Tamandua tetradactyla: one gene and its partners. The protein of the gene in region 1 interacts with the protein of each later gene in a pairwise test. Links are inferred from orthologs where the notes say so. Each region holds a gene or a part of one and is shown in the gene's direction. Other genes may lie near its edges.

Evidence for each region. The genes of interacting proteins can lie anywhere in the genome.
Region 2: the proteins of ZGPAT (region 1) and CCDC57 interact in binary tests that used the Homo sapiens proteins (3 or more experiments, as listed by UniProt). The two-hybrid records come from large-scale screens. The link is inferred for Tamandua tetradactyla from reciprocal best matches to the Homo sapiens genes ZGPAT and CCDC57.
Region 3: the proteins of ZGPAT (region 1) and BEN domain-containing protein 5 interact in binary tests that used the Homo sapiens proteins (3 or more experiments, as listed by UniProt). The two-hybrid records come from large-scale screens. The link is inferred for Tamandua tetradactyla from reciprocal best matches to the Homo sapiens genes ZGPAT and BEND5.

What each region holds. Positions count from the first base shown.
Region 1 is NC_135327.1:61,163,111-61,170,137, forward strand, and holds the start of ZGPAT (zinc finger CCCH-type with G patch domain-containing protein), read left to right. Parts: upstream 1-4,019; 5' UTR 4,020-4,179; intron 4,180-4,852; 5' UTR 4,853-4,917; coding exon 4,918-5,504; intron 5,505-5,985; exon of another isoform or gene 5,986-6,090; intron 6,091-7,027. Other genes in the region: ARFRP1 (ADP-ribosylation factor-related protein 1), read right to left, coding at 2,254-2,336, 2,503-2,590, 2,839-2,931. UniProt on the Homo sapiens protein: Transcription repressor that specifically binds the 5'-GGAG[GA]A[GA]A-3' consensus sequence. Represses transcription by recruiting the chromatin multiprotein complex NuRD to target promoters.
Region 2 is NC_135332.1:74,526,325-74,533,871, reverse strand, and holds the start of CCDC57 (coiled-coil domain-containing protein 57), read left to right. Parts: upstream 1-4,528; 5' UTR 4,529-4,584; coding exon 4,585-4,630; intron 4,631-7,547. UniProt on the Homo sapiens protein: Pleiotropic regulator of centriole duplication, mitosis, and ciliogenesis. Critical interface between centrosome and microtubule-mediated cellular processes. Centriole duplication protein required for recruitment of CEP63, CEP152, and PLK4 to the centrosome.
Region 3 is NC_135328.1:172,554,237-172,561,450, forward strand, and holds the start of BEN domain-containing protein 5, read left to right. Parts: upstream 1-4,195; 5' UTR 4,196-4,352; coding exon 4,353-4,386; intron 4,387-7,214. UniProt on the Homo sapiens protein: Acts as a transcriptional repressor.

The sequences.
Region 1 (7,027 bases):
AGTCAGGGCCTCCAGTAGCCCACTAGGCTGGGCTCTCTCCCTGGGGACCTGCAGATTCCTTGCCCTCAACGCCAGCCACACCTGGGAGGGGCAACACTGCTGGGAACAGCTGACCAGTCCAGCAGCATCCCTGACCTCTCCACTGTCTCCTCTCGAGAACCACTGACCTAAAAGATATAGTGACAGTGGCCCTCACACCTCCACTCACTGCACTAGCCCAACTCTGTACAAGAGAATTAAGAGGAACAGACCCTAGCTAGGTGCAGCATGTGCACAGAGCATGTGGTGCAGCTGCTGGCAGGGGCATCCGCTTTATTCCAACCCAAAGAACATCAGGAGTGGCAAACCCTGGCAGACAGGCCCTGGCCAGCCATGAATGCCCAGAGATCGGGACACCTGCAGACCCCTCAGCGCCCACGCCAACCCTACACCTCGCACACCCTGCCTGCTGACCACCATGCTACAAGATGCAGGAGTTTAACAAGCCAAGGCCCACACGCCAAAGGAAATGGCAGCTGGTGGCATCTTCTACCTTCCAATCCAGAAAGAAACTCAACACCTGACGGGCCTCCCAGGATCTGGTGGCCTCAAGGAAAGGCCTACACAAGGTCACTTCTCTAGCCAACATACAGGAAACCACAAAAGACCACCAGAAGCAAAGCAAGCCCTGCTGGGGATGCATAGGCCACCTTGCTGTGCAAGACCTGGGAGCCGGCAGACCCCATAATTCTAGGGCATCTGTGGTGGCAACAGATGCTTGCAGTTTTTGGCAAACCTGTAAGAAAACCACCATACAGGTCGCTGAGACTCCAGAGCTGGGCTGTGCCAGCCCAAGCAGACAACTTCCTGCCTTTAAGGAAGATGGCTAGTGTGCCAGGGTGCTGGAGGGTCACCACCTCAGGTAGCTACACAGCCCTTGGAGCAAGGCTACTGGCTATGGTAACTGACCCTGACTGGCGGCAGCAGGCAGGGCTGCTGTGCCCCATGGGAGTGGTTGGTATATGGGGGTTCCACTTGGTTCTCTGAGACTGTAAGCAGAGGAGGGGGGCTTGGTAACCAGGAGCAGGACCCCATCAGCTGCCCAGGTCCAGCTATGAGACCAGGTGAGCAAGCGAGGCCAGCGGGAGGTGGGGGAGGGGCAAAGCCGCATGGAGCACAGTGACCTTTGGCAGTTTCTGAGCTGTCCCGTTGCTGCCCAGCTGTGGGAAATGTGTGGCGGACAGCCTAGTCGTTGGCTCCTCTGGGCTCTGCTTAGGCTGCGAAGAGCAACCTTGCTCAGGTCCCCCCTTCCCGGGCCTGGTCCAGGTGGTGATGTAAGGCCTGGCCGGCCTGGCCTGACCTGGGTCAACCATGAGGAGCAATTCTCAACCCCAAGCTCCTGCTGAGCAATCTCCCTGGCCCTTCTGGGATGTTCATCCAGTATACACACCCTACACCCTGCTTCCACCTAAGTGAGAACCCGCGTGGTATGGGGAAATAAGCCCCATGTGCCTCTGGTGCTCAGACAAGGTAGGCCCTTGGCTGGCGTCTGCCTCTGTCCAATGCATGGGGCCACAGTGCAGCGGTGCCCTCTGCCCAGGCGGTAGCTGCTGCCCTGCTCTCCTGGCAGGAGGGGGCACCTCTAAAGGAGCCCAGGCAAAGGTGACTGTGTGCCAGGCACTGGGGGTCAAACCAGAAATCAGTGCCTGGGCCTTAGCTCCCCACACGAGCACTAGGCATATCTGCCCCAACCCCACCAACCTGAGGGGAAGGGACCACTGAGGGAAGAGGCTGCATCTGTCCTGCTCACTGCTGGACCCCAGGCAAATCTGAAGAAAGATTCTACACCCCTTGTGGATTCAGTCCTGCACTGTGGGACTTGAAATGCCCAAAACCCATGCCAAAGGAAGAGGCAGTGCCTGTATGGGGAAGACCCCCGGGGAACAGGCCCTGGTGACCTAGGCTGGGGACACAGGAGAGGGAGCTGGAGCCCACTGGAGGACACCCAGAGCCCAGGCCCTGCAGTTCAGCACCCGACAGGCTTTGCAACCCTCATGGGGCCCTAGGCATCTGCTGTCTGCTTCCTGTGGTGATTGGCCACAAGATCTCTAAACCGAAAGAAACCCAGGCCTTCCTCAATTTTGGGGGGAAAAAAGAAAGAAGGCTGGGTCCTGGGCCTTCCTGAGGGAAGGAAAGGAACGATGGATACTGTCTTCAGAGAAAAGGCGTGCGGGGCAGTCAGGAGTGCCCCTGAGTCCCTGAAGAAAGCCTTACCTTGTCCCATAGAGACTGCAGTTCTTCCTGTCCCCCCAGGTCCCAGAACATGAGACGAGCTTTTCCCACGTCCACAGTGCCGACTGGGAGAGGAGAAAGAATGAAGCTCGTGATCTTGACGCTGGAAGCCCCACATCCTGGCTCCCCTGCTGACAGAGCAAATCCCCACGGGCTACCTGACGGGGGCCCAGCCCGGCTATGGTCATCCTGGCGCCCCCAGCAACTCAAACCCATACCCTAAGGGCTTACTGTTCAGGCCCACAGTGGTTGTGATCTTGGATAAACTCATTCCTTTGTAGTTCTTGTTAAACCGCGTTTTTGACTGCTCCAGAAAGGTCTGAGGAGGGAGGACAGATCTGCGTTAGATGAAGGACCTGAGCAGTTTGCCAAGCCCGTTTCCCAACTATCTCTTCTCGAAACTTTCCTCAAAAAAACAAGCCAGCACCTCCACTCTTAGATTAGGGGTGACCTTCCTGTGAGCGTTAACAGGGTTTGGATTCCATTTGGATGGTGAATGTAGAGCTGAAGGTAGAAACCCAAAGGAAGAAACACTGGGGGAGACGGGAAAGAGAAACAAGCGTGTACCGTCTTTCCAGCATTGTCCAGGCCCAGGATCAGGATGCAGTACTCATCCTTCTGAAACATGTACTTGTACAGGCCCGAAAGCAGCGTATACATTCTGCCCCTGGGACACCCCAAGAGATAAGTCAGTAAGACATGGGGGTGGTTTGACCCGTTCCGTTCCTTACTCCCCCGGGTTTCCCCACCTTGGTAAATGGTACCCATTTGTCCTGCTGACAGCTCCAACCAGGATCTTAAGGGTGGCTCCTGATTCCCCACCCCAACTCCCTTTATTTCTAAGTCCCACTGGCTCTGCCTCCATAATCTCTCCCAGTTGTCTGGCTTCTCTCCATCTCCACCACCACCAGCTTTTCCTGGACCACCCCCTACTTCTTCACTCCTGCCTCCCACTCCCATTCCACTCACAGCAGTGACTGTGAACTCGGTTCCAGGCCCCCCTGCATCCTCACCCCACCCCCTTCCCCTTGCTCACTGAGCCCCGCCTCCCCTTAAGGCTCCACTTGTGCTCAGCTCTTCGTGCACAGGGAACAGGGACACACTTGCCCAAACTGGATATCCAAGTCTGGACAGCCAGATCGTTCTTAAAATTGAGCATGTGTGAGAAGGAGGGATTCACTAAGCAGCAGGAGCCACCGAAGGCTTTGAGGTGGGGCTCCCCATTCTCTAAGCTCCAGGGGTGGCTTTGCAGCGACAAGAGAGGCTGCGATCTCAGCCCACCCGAGGTGGACCTAGAGGTGGCGGTGGGCAGAGGGGATGGGCCCGGCCGGGGGCAGACTTCTGCGGAGGAGATCCCCCCAGGCCCACAGTCCGTCTCCCGGTAGTCCCGCACTTTGGACACCGAGTTTCCAAACTCTTGGGCAAACAGCCTAACAGACGCTCCCACGAGCGACACCCTCGCCTTGGGCGGGCGCCCCCTCCCGCGACCTCACCCCCCACGTCCGCGCCGCGCCGCTCGGGGCAGAGGGCGGCCGCGGCCCCTCAGGAGGGCTCCAGGCGGCGGCGATACAGTCCCTGGCCCACCTGCCTCCGCCCCGGGCCTTGGACCCGCTGCGGCTGCCGCCGGGACCTACGCGCGCTGACCCCGAGCCTAACCCCGCGCGGCGCCTGCTGGGACGAGGCCCGGCCGCCAGAGGAAGGGCGGAGCCGCGTAGAGCCCCGGCGGCCCCCGCGCGCCGCACCCGGCAACCCCCGCGCCGGGCACTTCCGGCGGCCTCGGCGCTCGGGAGGAAGTGCTGTTCGGCTGCGGGGGCGGAAGCAGGGCTGCCGGCTGTAGCCGGTGAGGCCGGCGGGGCTCTTTATGGCGGCGGCTGGATAACAGCGGGGAGAACGGACCTAGAAGAGAAGGTGGGGGCTTTTCCCGGGTGGAGCGGCCGGGGCCTGGGCCCGGGTCCGGTCCCGGTCCCGGTTCCGAGGTCGAGCGGCGGTGGGTGGTAGGAGCCTGAGGGGTCTGGGCAGAGAATGGAGTCGGGCCCGAAAAGAGCCCAAGGGATGGGGGGGCGACTCTGAGGAGGACTGGGCGGAGGGAGTCGGAGGACTGGGTCGGGTCGGGGGCGTAGGCAGGGGCGGGCCCGAGGGGAAAAGGCTTTTAGATTCTCCGGTCACCCCGCTTGGGAGAGCCCTGAGCACAGGGCTGAGAGTAGATGCAAAACACCACGCGGAGAAACCGGATCAAGCGTGACAGCAAAAGGTCGGTAGGCCTTTAGAGGGAAAGGCAGACCTGGACTGGGGAGGACAGCGGCTACGGAGCCCGGCCCCAGGTCTTCACCGGCCAGCTATGCCTTGGGCGGGTTCCTTAAGCTTTCTGAGCCTGTGTTCTCATCTTTGAAAAGGGAGGACGCACCGTACACCTTTTGGCAGGCTGTTGTATTTTATGGCATCGGTGTAAAGCTTTCAGCACAGAACATGGTTAACAGCCCATGTCCAGTACACCGCAGCCTTCAGGGTTTGCTTTAGAATGAGGGCCTCAGACTCCTGAGGCTCAGCTGCCTTCGATTTCTTGCAACTCTGGCTTCTGCAGCTTCCTCTCGAGGACTCAGGGACCCGCACCTGCCCTAAACCCAAAACCAACCAGCCTTCTATAGGATGGATGAGGAGAGCCTGGAGGCGGCTCTTCAGACCTATCGTGCCCAGCTGCAGCAGGTGGAGCTGGCCCTGGGAGCTGACCTGGATTCATCTGAGCAGGCAGACTTGCGCCAGCTGCAAGGGGACCTGAAAGAGCTGATTGAACTAACTGAGGCCAGTCTGGTGTCTGTCAGGAAGAGCAAGCTGTTGGCCACACTGGATCAAGTGCACCCATCCCAGGAAGATGCTGAATACATGGCTTTCCAGAAGGCTGTTGCTGAGGTAGTAGAGGTGCCAGCAGCCCCAGAGGCAGAATTGGAGACTGTTCCTAAAAGAGAGGCAGGGCCAGAACCCAAAAGACTTGGGCAAGAGGAGGAAGAGGGGAAGGACAGTGACAACGAGGAAGAGTTAAGTGGGACAAAAGTGAACGCCCCCTACTACAGTCCGTGGGGCACCTTGGAGTATCACAACGCCATGATTGTGGGCACAGAGGAGACAGAGGACGGCTCCACAGCTGTCCGGGTACTCTATCTCTACCCCACGCACAAGGCCCTGAAGCCCTGCCCGTTTTTCCTGGAGGGGAAGTGCCGATTCAAGGAGAACTGCAGGTAAAGCTCTTGGTGCTTGGGGTCCCATGGCTATAGGATATGAGGGGCATGCAGGGAAGGTCAGGGTTGTAATCAGTCCTGGCCAGGTTACTGGCAAGAAGAGAGCTTTTTCTTTTCCTTTTTTTTTTTTTTTGACAGGGGGAGTCATTTGCCCAGAGTCACTCAATTGGGAAGGGGTGGAGGTGGGCCTGGACCTATGTGGTGAGTCTGCATCTGGCTGTGCCACCCATTGCTGTCTAGGCAACTGATGATAATCTAATCTTTTTAAAATCACATGCTCCTTTGACCTTTGTGCCCAAAGGACTTTTTCTTTAAATTCCAGTGGTTTTTCTGGGCTACATCTTGCTGTGGATCATTCTGAATCCATATTCTTAGAAGCATAGTGCCCTTTCAATATGTAAGGTTTTGTTTGTTCAGAGAAGTTGAGGATTTACAGAAGAGTCATGCACCAAATTCAAGGTTCCTGTATACCACCCTATTAAAAAATAGAAACGGCTTCACAAATTTGCATGTCATCTGTGCGCAGGTGCCTTCCTAATCTTCTCGTCATTCCAATCCTTAGTGTGTGTACTGCCAGAGGGAGCACAATCTGCAGTTTCAGATCTTTTTTATCTCAGGAAAGTTTTTTCTAATTAGTTTTTAGTATGTGTTTAGGTATCTCTGTTTATTGTTCTTTACTTGTCTTTTAATATTTGTGACTTCTTTATCAATCTTTTTATTTGCTTTTTTAGTTTTTTCTCTTTTTAAATTTTGTTTTTTCTCACCAGTCTTTTTTATCTCCATTTCTTTTTGATAAAATTTTAAGAAATTCCTCTTTTTTTAAGAAAATTCCTTTTTTTCCCTTAAGTCATTGTTTGTCATATTTATTTGCTCTTGTGCATGTTCTAATTCAGTTTTTATTTCTAAAGTGGAGTTTTTCTTCCTAATTCTTTTAAAAATTCTGTCATTTCATTTCTAAATTTTCCTAATTGTGATTTATGCTAGTCTTTAAAGTTTTGTATCGTATTCTTGATGTCCTTTCATTGTTTTTTTTTAATTTTTAATTTTTGGGTGCATGGTCTGGGAATCGAACTCTGGTCTCCCGCATGGAGGTGAGCATTCTACCATTCTGTGGGGTTTTTTGTTTTTTGTTTTTTGAGTAGTCCTCTTTAGTGAACATTCATTGTTTTTCTCTTCTCTTTTTTCTTGTAGCTTTATGTGGAATAAACATCAGTACTTTTCTGTTGCTCACTTTTATGAGAAATTAATTTTCCTGAACCTTTAGAAGAAAGTTTATTTAAGTAGCTTTTCTAGAGTCACAAAGCGCTCTCTTCTGTTATTTCTGTTTCCTAGAGTTTTGTTTTTTTTTTTATCGTTTCTTAATACATTTGCATCGGTTTAGAGGAACTAGAAACACAACAGAAAAAGATATAAAATGTTAATTAGAGAAAAGAAATAAAAGTAGTAATAATAGTAAAAAACAAACAAAAAAAACCCTATAGCTCAGATGCAGCTTCATTCAGTGTTTTAACATGATTACTTTA
Region 2 (7,547 bases), on another chromosome or scaffold:
CGGCAGGGGCCATGGCGGCTCTCGGGGTGGGAGGGCTCTCCCCATGGACCTCCCCTTTGGGGTCCCCCTTCCCTGGACCCCCGGGGACTTGCCTCCTAGTCAGCACCCACTGCCCCTCCTGCTGGAGGCACCCCAGGAGCAGAAACCCAGACACAGGTGGCAGCAGGCCACCCTCTCACCTCCCGTCCCCATGGCCCAGCACAGGGCGTGTCCTCAGGCCCTGAGATCAGGCGTCTGGCTGGGCCCCGCTCTCAGCCCTTGTCCCCCAAGCCCGGACCCTCTGGGACCCCCATGTAGCCTGGAGGCTGGACCCCTCAGCAGCCAAACTCGGGGAGAACCGGGCCGTGGGGCCCTCGCAGCACCTGTGCTCCTCTCCCCGGTTAATCCAAGCTGCCCTTCCCGGGTCCCTCGGGGTCAGGCTGGATGCTGGGACAGCCCCAGCCCCTAACCCAGCCCCTGGTGACGGCCTCTCTGCCCTCCTCCTGCCCTTCCCTGCTGGCGGAACCAGTCTGCCACTGGCAGTGTCGGCCCTGTGCAGGCAGGACCAGCTCTGCCCTGGCTGTGCAACCTCGGCCCATTCCCTGACCTCTCTGACCTGGAAGGGGGGCAAGTTCTAGAACACAGCACAGAGGATGGCTGTGGGGAGGTCTGTCGTCCATGTGCACAAACTGCTGAATTTTCACAAACCAAACCCACCTTTGCAAGAATTTAACCTGCCAGGGCCAGGCAGGGCCCCCTCCCTCACCTCAGGGTGAGCCCACCCCAGCCGGCCGCAGCCTCCTCTCCCAGGGATCTCACAGGAGGGCCATCGCAGGCTGTGCCCCTGACCTGGCTTCTTCCCCAAAGGGAGCCCCAGGCTGCCCTGACCCTTAGCTTTCCTGCAGCTGTGGAGGGAGGCTCAGGATAGTCCTCTTTTCCAGATGGCTATTGTAGAAGGATTGGAAATTTCAGAAAAGTGGAAGAAAGCCACGCGCCCCCCCCCCCCTTTGGCCGGTGTGCTCCTCTTGGCAGAATCGGGAACCCCTCTGCGCCCCACGCCCGCCTGCAGAGGTTGTGCGGACACTCCCTGTTCTTGTACCCCTCCTCGGCTGGTGGAGGGCTGAGGCCTTGGGGCTGTTGAGGTGGGAGATGGGTCCGTTTTTCTAATAACAGCTTCATGATGTACTTCTCACAGCCGTACAAGTTGCCCATTTAAACTGCACAGTTGGATGGGTTTTAGTGTATTCATGGCATTGTACAACTATCACGCAATTTTAGAACATTTCCATTATCCCCAAAATAAGTCCATGCCCATCAGCAGCCCCACCCTCACCCATTCCCCACCTTAGCCCCTGGCACAGGTTCCTTCTTGCTGAGAGGGGCTCTGAAGCCGCCACCCTCAGGCATAGCCCGGGGGGCACCTGTGAACCAGGTGGAGGAGATGAACAGGAAGCTCCGGCCAGGGACTAAATGGCTACCTAGCTGCGGGGTGTGGATAGGGAAATGGGGTGGGGGTGCCACAGGGCTCAGAGGAAGGACCATCTTCAAGCTATGGGGGCTCAAAGACACCCCCCCCCTAAAAAAGAGCTGTCCACTCTGGGATGGAGACAGTATGGGAGGGTGGCACGTCCCCAGAGGCTGGGGGTCCCAGGCAGGAGGCGTCATCCTCCAGTTGGTATTTAAGGGGATCTTGGGGTGCATGAGTGACTGGCAAGAGAGATACTATAGAAACCCCAGAGAGAGAGGTGAGAAATCAGGGCTGCAGGGCCCTGATGGGGAGCTGGGGGACCCTGGGAGGTGCAGTAGGGCTTGGTCCTGGGAGGGTGCTCAGGGTGGTGAGGTCTGAGCAGCCAGAAGTGCAGGGACTCGGGGCCCTGGCAGAGCTGATGTGGGTGGGCGGGGCCCAGGGAGTGGAACAAGGGGCTACTGGCCATGAGGTCCAGCCAAAAGCACCCGAGAGCCAGCTCCCTGCAACCTGGCGGTGGGGGTGGCACCGCTGCCTGCCCTTCCCCATTCGTCTGGGGCCTAGAGGGGCCGGGGTTTCCCCTAGACCCACACCTCTACTCAGCCCCAGGCCAATCTCTTTGTATCTTCCGCTGATGGGGGCTCTGCAGAGGCTGGCCCAGCTGCAGGGGAGCCCAAGTGGGGGGTCTGGGCAAAGCAGGCCCTAGGCTATCCCTGAGCTCCTGCCCGCCCTGATAATTTCCCAACTCAGGACTAGCACCCTCTGCTCCCTGTTGCCTCCTGGGGAGATGCTGGGAGGGGCCTCCTTGGACTTCTGCTGGGGATATTTAGGATGTCCAGGCTTGTCTTAGACCCTCCCCCACCCCTGCAATTTCCCAAGGGGTGGCTAGGCCCAGGCCTCCATCCCACTTCAGGCTGGGAAGAGAACTCACTGCCAACTCCACAACTGGGGACCTGCTGAACCCTTGGGCTCCTTCTTGGTCCCTGCAGCATCTCAGGCCTTTGCCACGAGGCTGATGGTGCGAGCGTGCCACAGCCAGCATGTTTCCCTATGTTGTGGCTTGTCAGGCACCCCATCACACAGGGGCGCACAGGGATGCTGCCTGCTCTCCCCTGCACCTGGGGACCTGTTTATGCCCCAACCCCATGCTGGGCCAGTGTGATCCACTCCCCAGCACCCAGCGCCCAGCAGTCTCCGTCCCCAAAACCAGGCTGGGGGCCATCTTCGCCCTGGAGGATGGGCATGGGGCTGCACCCTGGCACCCTAGTAGGCAGCCTCCCCCTCCTCCCCAGGCCATGTAGGCATTCTTTGCCCTATGTCTTATCCGAGAGCCAGACCAAATACTTGGCCTTTAGTTGTTCAACCCCAGCCCTGTTTTCTGGAGAGCAGGGGCAGCAGGGAGAGTCAGTCAAGGGCGTGTGCCCTATTGTCACAGAATTCCGAGTCCTAAGGAGTCAAAAAACACCTCCCCCCATCCTCATGCTGAGGAGACAGAGTAGGCAACGGGAGGGGTGGCGGGCAGTGGAGAACCGAGGGCAAGAGGAGAGAGGCCTGAGGGCTGGGGACAGAGAAGGAGGAGGCAGAGGCAAGGCTCGGGCAGGGCCCCCAGGTGCAGGGCCTTGGGCGGGTAGCGAGTGGTTTAGGTGCAGCAATGGTGGTGGGGCAGGGGAGACGGGAAAGGGGAGAGGTGCAGCCCCCCGGAGTCCCCACCAGCACCCCTGCGGGAGTGCGGACCCAGACGGCAAGCGCAGGCTTCCGTCCTGGCTGCGCCGCGGTCTGCCTATCATAGACCGAAGAAGAAAACGCGCGCCCCTTTTGAGAAACCCCACCGCCAGGCAGGCGAAGGAGTCGAGCTGCGGGGGAATGAATCCTGCGGTGGGGGAGAGCTGAGCTTCTCGAGGGGAAGCCCAGAGGAAGGGGCCCTCCCGGGAGCCTGCGGGCCGCTGCCCCAGGCGGGAGCAGCGAGAGGGTCGGGTTCCCGCAGTCCCCTTGGACCCAGTCCCGCTTCTCCGACGAGGCCAAGACAATCCCCTACCGGCCACAGAAGCCACCCGCCCCTAGCGCAGTGCCTGGTACCCCAAGGTAAACGCCCCTTCACAGGAGCAGTCCCGCCCCCCGTCTTAGGTGCAGCTCTTACGCCCTCCAGGAGCCCCAGGTACAGCCCTCCTTCCCCCAGGCCGCCCCCGTGTGCAGCCCTCCTTCCCCCAGGTCCCCCCCGCGTGCAGCCCTCCTTCCCCCAGGCCCCCACCCGTGCAGCCCTCCTTCCCCCAGGCCCCCCACCGCGTGCAGCCCTCCTTCCCCAGGCCCCCACCCGTGCAGCCCTCCTTCCCCCAGGCCCCCCCCCCCCCGCGTGCAGCCCCGTGCAGTCCTCCTTCCCCAGGCCCCCACCCCGTGCAGTCCTCCTTCCCCAGGCCCCCACCCCGTGCACCCCTCCTTCCCCCAGGACCCCACGCGTGCAGCTCTCCTTCCCCCAGGACACCCCGCGTGCAGCCCTCCTTCCCCCAGGACCCCACGCGTGCAACCCTCCTTCCCCAGGCCCCCACCCGTGCAGCCCTCCTTCCCCCAGGCCCCCCCCGCGTGCAGCCCTCCTTCCTCAGGACCCCACGTGTGCAGCCCTCCTTCCCCCAGGACCCCCGCCCCGTGCAGCCCTCCTTCCCCCAGGACCCCCGCCCCGTGCAGCCCTCCTTCCCCCAGGACCCCCCGCGTGCAGCCCTCCTTCCACCCATGAGCAGTCCTTGTGCACCCCACCCGGCTCGGAAAGCTCATAAGCTCCCCTTGGGGTTAGGAGAGCCGCCGCCGGGGGACCTGGCGGAGGGAGCGAGTGTAGCCCCCGGGCTCTCCCGGCGGCCGAGCCCCCGAGCCCCGGAGCTCCTTCCCGGGCTCGCCCAGGGGTAGGTGGAGAGGCCGGGGCCTGCAGCGAAGTGTCGGAGGTTCCACGGCCCGAAGAACCCGGCAGGGTTGGGTTCGGCCCCTCCCCATAGGCCCCCTCCTGGTCGACTGCGCCCCGCTCCCCCACGGACTCGTCGGCGCCTGCGCGCGGGAGGGCGCCGGAACCCGGGGCCCGGACCTAAGTTTCCCCTCGGCGGGACCCGAGCGCTGTACCGAGCGCGCCCTGGGCTGGGCGGGCCGACGGGATTGCTATGGCGACGCGGCGACGCTGGGAGCCGCTCGGGGCTGGCATTCCGGGTAGGACCCGGGTCGCGGGACCCCGGGCGGGAAACTTGGGAGGGCGCGGTGGGGAGAGGCGCAGGGCGCCGACCCGCCCCCCTCTCGGCCCCGGCCGGTCCTCGCGGCTCGTGACTTTCCGTGGAAATCCGGCGTTGGCGCCTCAGCGCTTGATCCCCTCGGGCCGAACCCGAGGACTTGCCGTCACCCGCCGAATGGGGGTGATCGTTCTCAAACTGCTGGGACGGGCTTGGCCCGCGCGAGGCGCCTCGCCGTCTTTCTCCCCGCGGCACCGCCGGCACTCCTCCCTGCGTTGACGCGGTGAGGCGGGACGACCGGGCACGACCCTCCCGGGGCGCCAGGCCCCTCTCTCGGGCTCTGCTTCCATGGCTGGGCCTGGGGCCTGATGAGCCGGGCTCCGAGAAGGGACACCTCCCCGCGGCCCCCAGCCAGGAAGGAGGGATTCGAACCTCGGCGCTCCGGCTCCCCGGGTTGATTTTTTCGTTTGTTTGGTTTTTTAAAGGTGCAAAAACAGTACAGAGAACTCGCCTGTCCCTTTTACCAGGTTCCCCAAAACAAACCCGGACATCAGCATTGGCAGAGTGCAGTAACGGTCCGGGATCCTGCACCCCATTCCGCTGCCTCCTTTTGTTGTTGTTCTTTAATCTGGGTCAGTTCCTTGGGCTTTCTTTCATGACTGAAAGGTTTTAAGATATGAGGTTTTTGAGAGAAAGGAAGGTAGACGAAATGATTTTAAGTGAGCGTGGTTTATTGGCTGCGCTCTCGGGCAGAGCTCACCGAACCCAAGTTGGAGTGAGGTGAGTCCGCGCACGGCTTTGGCGAGTGCAGTTTTTAAGGGCAGGGGTTAGGTGATGACATGAAAGGGGCGGCACATTAAACTAAGGAGTATTATGCTAGTGGGCTGAGCAGCGGGCGGTCAGATGTCCGTGGAGCAATGAGTGAGCCGATGTTTGCTGCGTAAAGATCTTTGTTGTAACAGTTCACCTCCGGTTCCGAAGTGACTTCATGAGTCCAGCCATTGAGCCCTCCCGTATTCCCCCGACCTAACAATGACCTTGACGTTTTTGAAGGGTTCTAGCCAGGTATTTTATCGAATGCCTTGCAAATGGAGTTTGTCTGATGTTTCCCCAGGGTTAATGTAAAGTTCTGTATTTTTGGAAAGAAAAACCTCAAAATTGAAGTTGTATCCTTCAGGCTGGTGATGCAGGGTTGTCCCTTTACTGTCTTGATAAAAGTGGTGTCTGCCAGGTTTCTCAATTGTAAAGTAACTATTTTAACCTTGCAAATAAGAAGTGTCTCGTGTTTGTTTGCAGGGATACGTTGAGACCTGTAAATATCATTTCTACAACTGGTGTTAGCATCCTTAGGTGAGTCTTGCCTGAAATGTGGTATTTGCGAAGTGGTGGTTTTCTATTTCCATCATTCCTTCCACATTTATTAGTTGGAATTTTATTGTAAGGAAAAACTTCCCTTTCTCCTTCCCTTATCTATTTATTTAGTTTTTTTTTCCATGTTAGTATGCACTCATATATTTTTACTCCATGGGCTATACTCTTTCATGATTGTTTATTTATTTATTTTATTTTTTATTTTTTCCATTTAAAAGAGGGATCACTTTGTTTATTCAGGAAACCCCCACCTTTTCATTTACGTAGATTAATAAGTTTCATTTGGGGGGATTAATAAGTATAAGTTTTTTAATTATACAGCTTGATTGCATTATTATTTTTTTATTAATTAAAAAAAATTAACACAACATTTAGAAATCATTCCATTCTACATATGCAATCAGTAATTCTTAATATCATCACATAGATGTATGATCATCATTTCTTAGTACATATGCATCGATTTAGAAAAATAGCAAGACAACAGAAAAAGAAATAAAATGATAATATAGAGAAAAAATAAAAATAAAAAATACAAAAATATATAAGAAAAAAAACAACTATAGCTCAGATGCAGCTTCATTCAGTGTTTTAACATAATTACATTACAATTAGGTAGTATTGTGCTGTCCTTTTTTTTTTTTTTTTTTTAGAAATTATACCATTCTGCATATGCAATCACTAATTCTTAACATCATCACATAGATGCATGATCATCATTTCTTAGTACATTTGCATCGGTTTAGAAGAACTAGCAATATAACCGAAAAAGATACAGAATGTTAATATAGAGAAAAAAAATAAAAGTAATAATAGTAAGAACAAAACAAAACAAAACAAAACAAAACAAAAACCTATAGCTCGGATGCAGCTTCATTCAGTGTTTTAACATGATTACTTTACAATTAGGTATTATTGTGCTGTCCATTTTTGAGTTTTTGTATCTAGTCCTATTGCACAGTCTGTATCCCATCAGCTCCAATTACCCATTATCTTACCCTGTTTCTAACTCCTGCTGAACTCTGTTACCAATGACATATTCCAAGTTTATTCTCGAGTGTCGATTCACATCATTGGGACCATACAGTATTTGTCTTTTAGTTTTTGGCTAGACTCACTCAGCATAATGTTCTCTAGGTCCATCCATGTTATTACATGCTTCATAAGTTTATCCTGCCTTAAAGCTGCATAATATTCCATCGTATGTGTATACCACAGTTTGTTTAGCCACTCGTCTGTTGATGGACATTTTCGCTGTTTCCATCTCTTTGCAATTGTAAATAACGCTGCTATAAACATTGGTGTGCAAATGTCCGTTTGAGTTTTTGCCCTTAATTCCTTTGAGTAGATTCCCAGCAATGGTATTGCTGGGTCGTATGGCAATTCTATATTCAGCTTTTTGAGGAACCGCCAAACTGCCTTCCACAGTGGTTGCACCATTTGACTTTCCCACCAACAGTGGATAAGTGTGCCTCTTTCACCGCATCCTCTCCAGCACTTGTCATTTTCTGTTTTGTTGATAATGGCCA
Region 3 (7,214 bases), on another chromosome or scaffold:
GACTTTCTGGGCTTTTTCCTTTCTGTCTTACACTCTCCCCACTTCACTTTTATTTCCTGGGGTTACCTTCTTCATTAGTCAGGGTTCTCTAGTGAAACAGAACCAACAAGAGAGATCTGTAAATATGAAATTTATAAAGGTATCTCATGCAACTGTGGGAATGGAAGAGTCTAAAACCCACAGGACAGGCTGTGAAACTGGTGCTTCCAATGAAGGGTCTAGACAAACTCCACAGGAGAGGTCCGCTGACTAAAGAAGCAGTGAAAAGGTTTCTCTTCTCCCTTAAAAGGGTCTTCAACTGTTTGGATTATCTCATTGGTGGGAGACACACTTTAGTTGATCACAGATGTAATCAGCCCCAGAAAATAAACTGGCTGATGATTTAATATAACAGCCTTCTGGTTTATCAACTAGCCATGAAATATCTTTACAGTAATGGTCAGGCCAGTGCTTGCCTGACCAGACCACTGGGCATCACTACTCAGCCAAGTTGACACCTGAACCTAACCATCACAGTCCACCCCTTGTCAACCTGGCAGCTATGTACGTCATCTTGAAACACGCTTAATTTCCAAATAGAACACAATAACAGACACATTTCATCTAACAATACTTGACTGTCCTTCGCATAAACGGAAATGCACTATGTCTCCCCAGAATAGGCTGCAAGTCCTTAGGTAACTTAAACTTCATTTCCTATGGCTTAAATACTATAAATGAACAGTACAACTTATGTCCTATGATAAGAGGAAAACAAGGTATTTGCTTATGTACAAATGCAAACATACTCATAGCAAAATAGGGAGGAAATATTCATAAAATCATAGTCCTCGTTTCTATAACTGGTCATGTGGTTGTGGTTCATATTTATCACTACCATTTTATACTATCCATTCCCTGTTCCCTTTACCCACAGCAAGCACTTCAGCTAGTTGCGGTTCTTTACCAGGTGGGTTGACCCAAATCTTCATTCCTGAAGTTTCTGGGCCATTGGTAGAACTTCCTGGATTGGGTTGTTGCAGTTTTCCATTGACTTTAATCACAGGGCATGGTACTACTAAGAGACGCCCTAGGGATCTCCTGTATTCCAGGAAAACTCTTCTTTACTTCCGTTGTGTAGCTGCAGTCCTATTTCCCCTGGATAGTCAGGGTCAATCACTTCAGACAGATCAGTAATACTTTTTTGTGCCTGTTGATTCAGTGGCATGAGAAACCCAATGTGGCCAGAGGCAGTCTTAACTTTCAGTTCAATGGAATCATTGTTATGCCTCCTGGTAGGAGCACTCCTCCTTTAGGAACTAAGACCTGTAGATCAGCAGAGCTTAAGGTTTCAGGGACATGAAACAAAAATTTTTCTAGTGGATCACTAGGGGTGATCGTGAGTAGTGCCACTCCTATTTCCTCCCCTGGATTCCTTGACCCATGAATTCTGGCTATGGGAGAAACAGCACCACAGAATTGATGCTGATTCAGAGTACACAGCCTACTGAAGAACACTGCCCAAGCCCTGCAAGGTATTGCCACATAGTTGGCCCATAATGGGGTCTTCAAAGAGTCATTCCACAATTCTATCAACCCAGGTAACTCTGGATGATGGCGAACATGGTAAGACCAGAGAATTCCATGAGCACAAGCCCATTCCTGCACTTCATTTGCTGTGAAGTGGGTTCCATGATTAGAAGCAATGCTGTGTGAAATACCACGACTGTGGATAAGGCATTCCATTGCTGTTCCATCTGGTGAGTAGGATTAGTTGCTCCAGACAGAGGAGTGAGGGCTGTTTCCCCAGGGGAGGTGGTTTCAGGGTTAGCAGGCACTGAAGGGTTAATCTCATTAGGTGGAGGTCAGATGGAAGACTCCTCTGGGCAGACTGGAGATCAGGAAGTTGTTTTCCTCAGGGCAGCGTAAAGGTCAGCAAGCTTTTCCCTCAGGGTAGTCCATTACAGGTCTATCTAGCAAAAGCTTAGCAGATTTCAGGGATTCCGTCTCCCCATTGCCATCATTATCAAACCATATATTCCCATCCACATTTCAGGATCCCATTCTTTTCCAGTTAAAGTCCTTACTTTAACAGCAGACACCCTGCAATGTTGAGATTTTAAGCTTACATGATAATCTGCTACTTGCACAAAGAAGCTCTGTATTTGGTTTGCAGAGATCTCAAGTGTGTGACCATAGGAAAAAAATTTTCTTTCAGGATACACATGGAAACTTTTACATCATTCATATGGTGCTTAATTTGCAAATTTGAATCCTTCAAGCTCATCCCTTTCCCTCATCACTGTATCTAGCATATCTAACAACAAACAGCCAATATCATTACACCTTTTAATTCCACAAAACTACATAAAGATGTTAAAAACACTCTCACCCAGAGTCTTAGCTCATATAAGCATACAATTAGCAGAATCTAATGGTGATATTTTGCATATCTCTCTTACCAATTCACCCAATGGACTGCCATCTTGATTATTGGAAACAGAGTCAATAGTGCCTCTGAGTCTAACCTGAGTATAAATACAATTGTAAAAATCCATTTTTAAGATTTTCTTTCCAAAAACCACTCCTAGTTTCAAGCTTTATCAGTCAGGGTTCTCTAGAGAAACAGAACCAAGAGAAGATACCTGTAAATATGAGATTTATAAAGGTGTCTCATGCAACCGTGGGAATGGATGAGTCCAAAATCCGTAGGGCAGGCTGTGATGCTGGCAGCTCCAGTGAAGGGTCTGGACAAACTCCACAGGCGAGGCTCACTGATGAAGAAATGGTGAAAAGGTATCTCTTCTGTCTTAAAAAAAAAAAAAAAAAATCCTCATTTGATTGGATTATCTCATTGGTGGGAGATACGCCTTAGTTGATCACAGATGTAATCACCACACATGTAATCAACTGACTGATGATTTAATAGACCAGCCCTCTAGTTTATCAACCAGCCACAAAATATCCTTACACAATGGTTAGGCCAGTGCTTGCCTGACCAGATGACTGGGCATCATCACTTGGACAACTCGACACCAGGTCCTAACTATCACATCTTCTAAACAAATTACCAGAACCGAAGTCCTTGACTTAGGCTTTGCTTTTGAGGAACCCAAATGAAGATACTACCTAACTAAATGGCAAATTCTTTAGAGACAACACTGGCCTATGTGATCTGTATGATAGCCACATTGAACGTTTTGTAGTTTTGCTGCTGATGTTCCTTACTTCCACACTTCTGTGTCTCAGGTCATGCTTCTCCCTCTGCTTGGCACACTTTCTCCCCTTTGCCTGGCTGACACCTGTTAGTGTATCCATTTCTCTGTGAAGTCTTCACTGACAATTCCTCTCCTTTCCCTGACCCTCTACAGCTTAGAGTTCCATGTCTACGATCCCATAACACTTTAAATGCTAGTTAACCTCCATCAGCGCCATTATCTCTTTTCCATTGTGAGCTCCTTAAGAAGAGTCTACCTAGCAAGGTACTTGTAGCAAAATTAGGTGCTCAATAAAACTGACAGGAATGTGCCGGAATGAACTGAAGGAGTCATTTTTCATACAGGAAATATTTACTGAGGACCTACTTTGTGAAGAAGAGAGAATAATGCATATAGCATGGTAAACTCTAGGACAGAGTAATGCACAGTGACTGTGGGAGGACAGAGTAGGTCAGAAAAGGCCTATGCTAGAGCTTGGCATAACTGTCTTAAGAGGATAATGGCAGTTTGCCACGGGAAGGTGGGAAAGGGTATTCTAGCTATACCAAGAAAAAGAGAAGCCTTTTCTAGAATTGGGGGCTGGTGCTGCTGGAGAGCGGTGCAAGAGAAGGAACTCTGTGGGCCTGGGCGTGTTGAGCATAGAGGGGTATAGAGGTAGTGACTCAGTGCATTTCAGTTAAAGACGAAAGTCACCCAGCACCTTGATAAGGGCCAGGCATGCCTGGGGGAGAAACGTTTTAAAATAATAAAAACCTGTCCCCAGCTCCCAAAGTTCTGTAAAACCCACAGAAAACCATACAAAATGCCATCGAGCAGACCCGGTCCCGACGCCCCAGAGGCAGTTGAGCATGCTCAGACGCTGGGACACGGTGGCTCCCTTGCGGGGTAGACGCTTAGCAGAGTCCTAGCAGGAGCGGCGCCTGGTCCTGGAAGGAGACTCGCGCCGCGGGGGCGGGGCCTTGGTACGCACGCTCCCTCCCAGCCCGCCCCCTCACTTCCAGCAGCTCGCGGGCCTCTGACTAGCCTGCCGCCGTTGCCCTGGCAACCGTCGCGCCGCGTCTTCCTAAGAGAGCTCCTGTCAGCCCGCTGAGCCCACCGCCCGCTCCCCCCTGCCCTACGGTCTTCGCGTGGGTCTGAGGCGGAGGGACAACAAAAATGGCGGAGAGGAGCCTAACGGCGCCCGAGGCAGGTCTGTGCGGGCGGTAGAGCAAGGGATGTCTGAGGCAGCATGGCTGTCTTGGGCCTGAGGGGACAGGGGACTCAGGCAGGGCCCTATTCTTGAGAAGGACCCTTAGTGCAGTAGGCCTGTGACCTGGAGGTCAGGGGTCAAGGGAGGCATATACCTTTCTGAGTGATGGGCAGAGACTCAGGGGTCCCGGTGGCGGAGAAGGTGTTTGTGTTTCTGCGTGCGTGCTCACACACACACACACACACACACACACACACACACACACACACACACACACACACACACTTCCGAGGGAGTATGAGCTAAGAAAGGTCAGGAACCCTAGGGAAGGCACAAAGCCCCATCGTGAGGGGTCCCTGTGGTGGGAGGAGTTCCAGGGGTAGGCTACCTCATGGAGAGGGTCTACACAAGCCTGTGGGAGTGTGAAGGGATCCCTAATGGGGTATACTTTGGGGGAGGGGGGCTCTGATTCTGAGGAGGCAGGTGTATGTGGTGGGCTTGTTACCTTAATGTAAGGCAGTGTCATGGAATGGGGTTCACTCAACCCCGAGTATGTGTGTGTTGGGTAGGTGTAGTGTCCTTCGAATCTCCCCTGGTCACAGAGAAAATGTGCAAGTCCCGGTATGGGGTCTTAAAAGGACAAGAGACTTGGGAGAGCCCCAGAGCCCCAGTCCTTTGGGAATCTACCTAAGAAAGCTGAAGCCTCAGTATGAGTGTATATAGGATCAGTGATCTTGAAGGTCATTCAGATTCACAAAAGGAATGCATGACCACATCTTTGTGGGTGGAAGAAAGTTTTGAAGGAGGTAGGGAGACTGATAGGGATATTCAGGATCCTATTCCTGAGGGGATCCTTGTAGGTATGGCTGGGTTTGGAGATAAAGGGACCTAATGTGTCTTACAGGGTTGTAGAAGAGAGGAATGTTTTTTCACAGTCCTGTGAATTTGAGAGGGAGTTTGTTTCCAAAAGGGGATTGGGACTGAAGAACTAGAGCCTCAGTACAGAGGGATGTCATTTGTGTATGTGTTGAAAAGCAGTGGCTTTAGGAGTATATGTGATAGTGGTGGTCGCAGTGGTATACAAATCTTGTATATGTGTCCTGATTTGGCATTGTGGTTGCAAAATGACCCACTTGAATTACGCAAGTCCTGGAGGTTTGGGTAGGGGGCTGGTTATGGTAAGGCTATATAAGGATTGTAACTGGAAACTGTATGAAGCCATCAGAAATGGCTCAAGGGACTATTATCTCTCAATGCCTGCATGATCACTTTCTGTCATGGGCTTTTTTGTGGGAGCATGGCATGGTTAGAATTATTTAAAAAAAATAACTGATCATGATGTGAACACAGAGGATGCAAGAATGGATATTGGTAGACCTGTTGGAAGGTAGTAGTAGAGAAGGAGAGAAGGAATTGAGAAATATTGAGGAGATAATAGAATTTATTGAAAGATGGGGATGAGGGAGAAGGAAGTATCAAGGATTACTTCTAATTTTTTAATTTGTGTAACTTGACAGTTGGTGTGCCATTATTAAGACAGAGAGCACTGGAAGGAGATGTAGGCTAGTTTGAGAAGGAAAAGCAAGAGTTTGGTTTTGGACAAATGGAGTTTGAGGTATTTTTGAGACATTTAAATAAGTGGAGAGATTGAAAAGGCAGTTGAGTTTTCAAGAAAAATCTAAGCTATTGATTTTGGCATAGAGGTGATTACAAGCCATGGGTGTAGATGAAATCACCCAGAGGGAGAATGTCAGAGGCCTGGGATGAAGTGTTGAGTGGCTGCAATATTTAAACGCCTCCCAAAGACACTAAGAAGGTACACCCTGAGAGGTAAAAGAACAACCAAGAAAATATTTCAAGATAAATGGAATATCCAACATTTTGAATGCTCCTGAGTGATTTAAAATGTAGCCTGAAAAATTAGATTTAGCAACAAAGAGGTCATTGGTGACCTTGATGAGAGGAAATTGATGAGGGTAGAAGCTTGCTCATTTTGCGTCTGAACTACTATTAACTGTCTCAATCTTTGTTTTGTAATTCAGACTCCAAAAAGAGAATTTGATTAACATATATCATCTTTTCCTAGCAGATCATGTCATGGATGCAGGCCAGTGTAGGATTGACTGCCTTTGAGTTAGGGGCCCAGTTCTGGCTGGGTGGTATAAAATATGGCCATCTGGTGATTTCTTGTCTCAATAGCAATAGCTAACATTTATGGAATTTTTATTATATAACAGACATTGTACTAAGTGTTTTATATATTTTAATCCACTTCAGCCTCATAACAATTCTCAAAGGTATTACCTCTACTTTATTTGTGATGTTTTGGCACAGAGAGTTTAAGCTACTTGTTCAAGATCTGCAAAGAATTAATTTAAGATTTTTGTTTTCCATACTATTTTAACATTATCCAGATACATTATTTGTTTTTCTGTTTGAAATTATGACATATTATATACTGAAGGAATCATAGCCATGATGAAAATTCCTCCCTTACAGGAAATATATATCTACTAAGCATGGTCTAGAAAGGTGAAGTGGGAAGAACTGGGGCTCATATTCTTGTTTAAATCCTGGTTCTATGACTTCTGCATGTGGACCTTGGGCTCAACTTTTACGATCTTCAGTTTCCTCATTTGTATAATAGGGATTATATTTGCAGGGTCGTTGTGAATATTAGAGGTAATATTTTCTTAGTTCTGCTGCTTGAATATAAAAATTCCAAATGTTTTGTATACATTTATAAATACAAACCTTAGACAATACAATGATTAATATAACAGTTCCCCACCCCCATTTCTCTTAATTGAAATAATTGATTTGCTTTT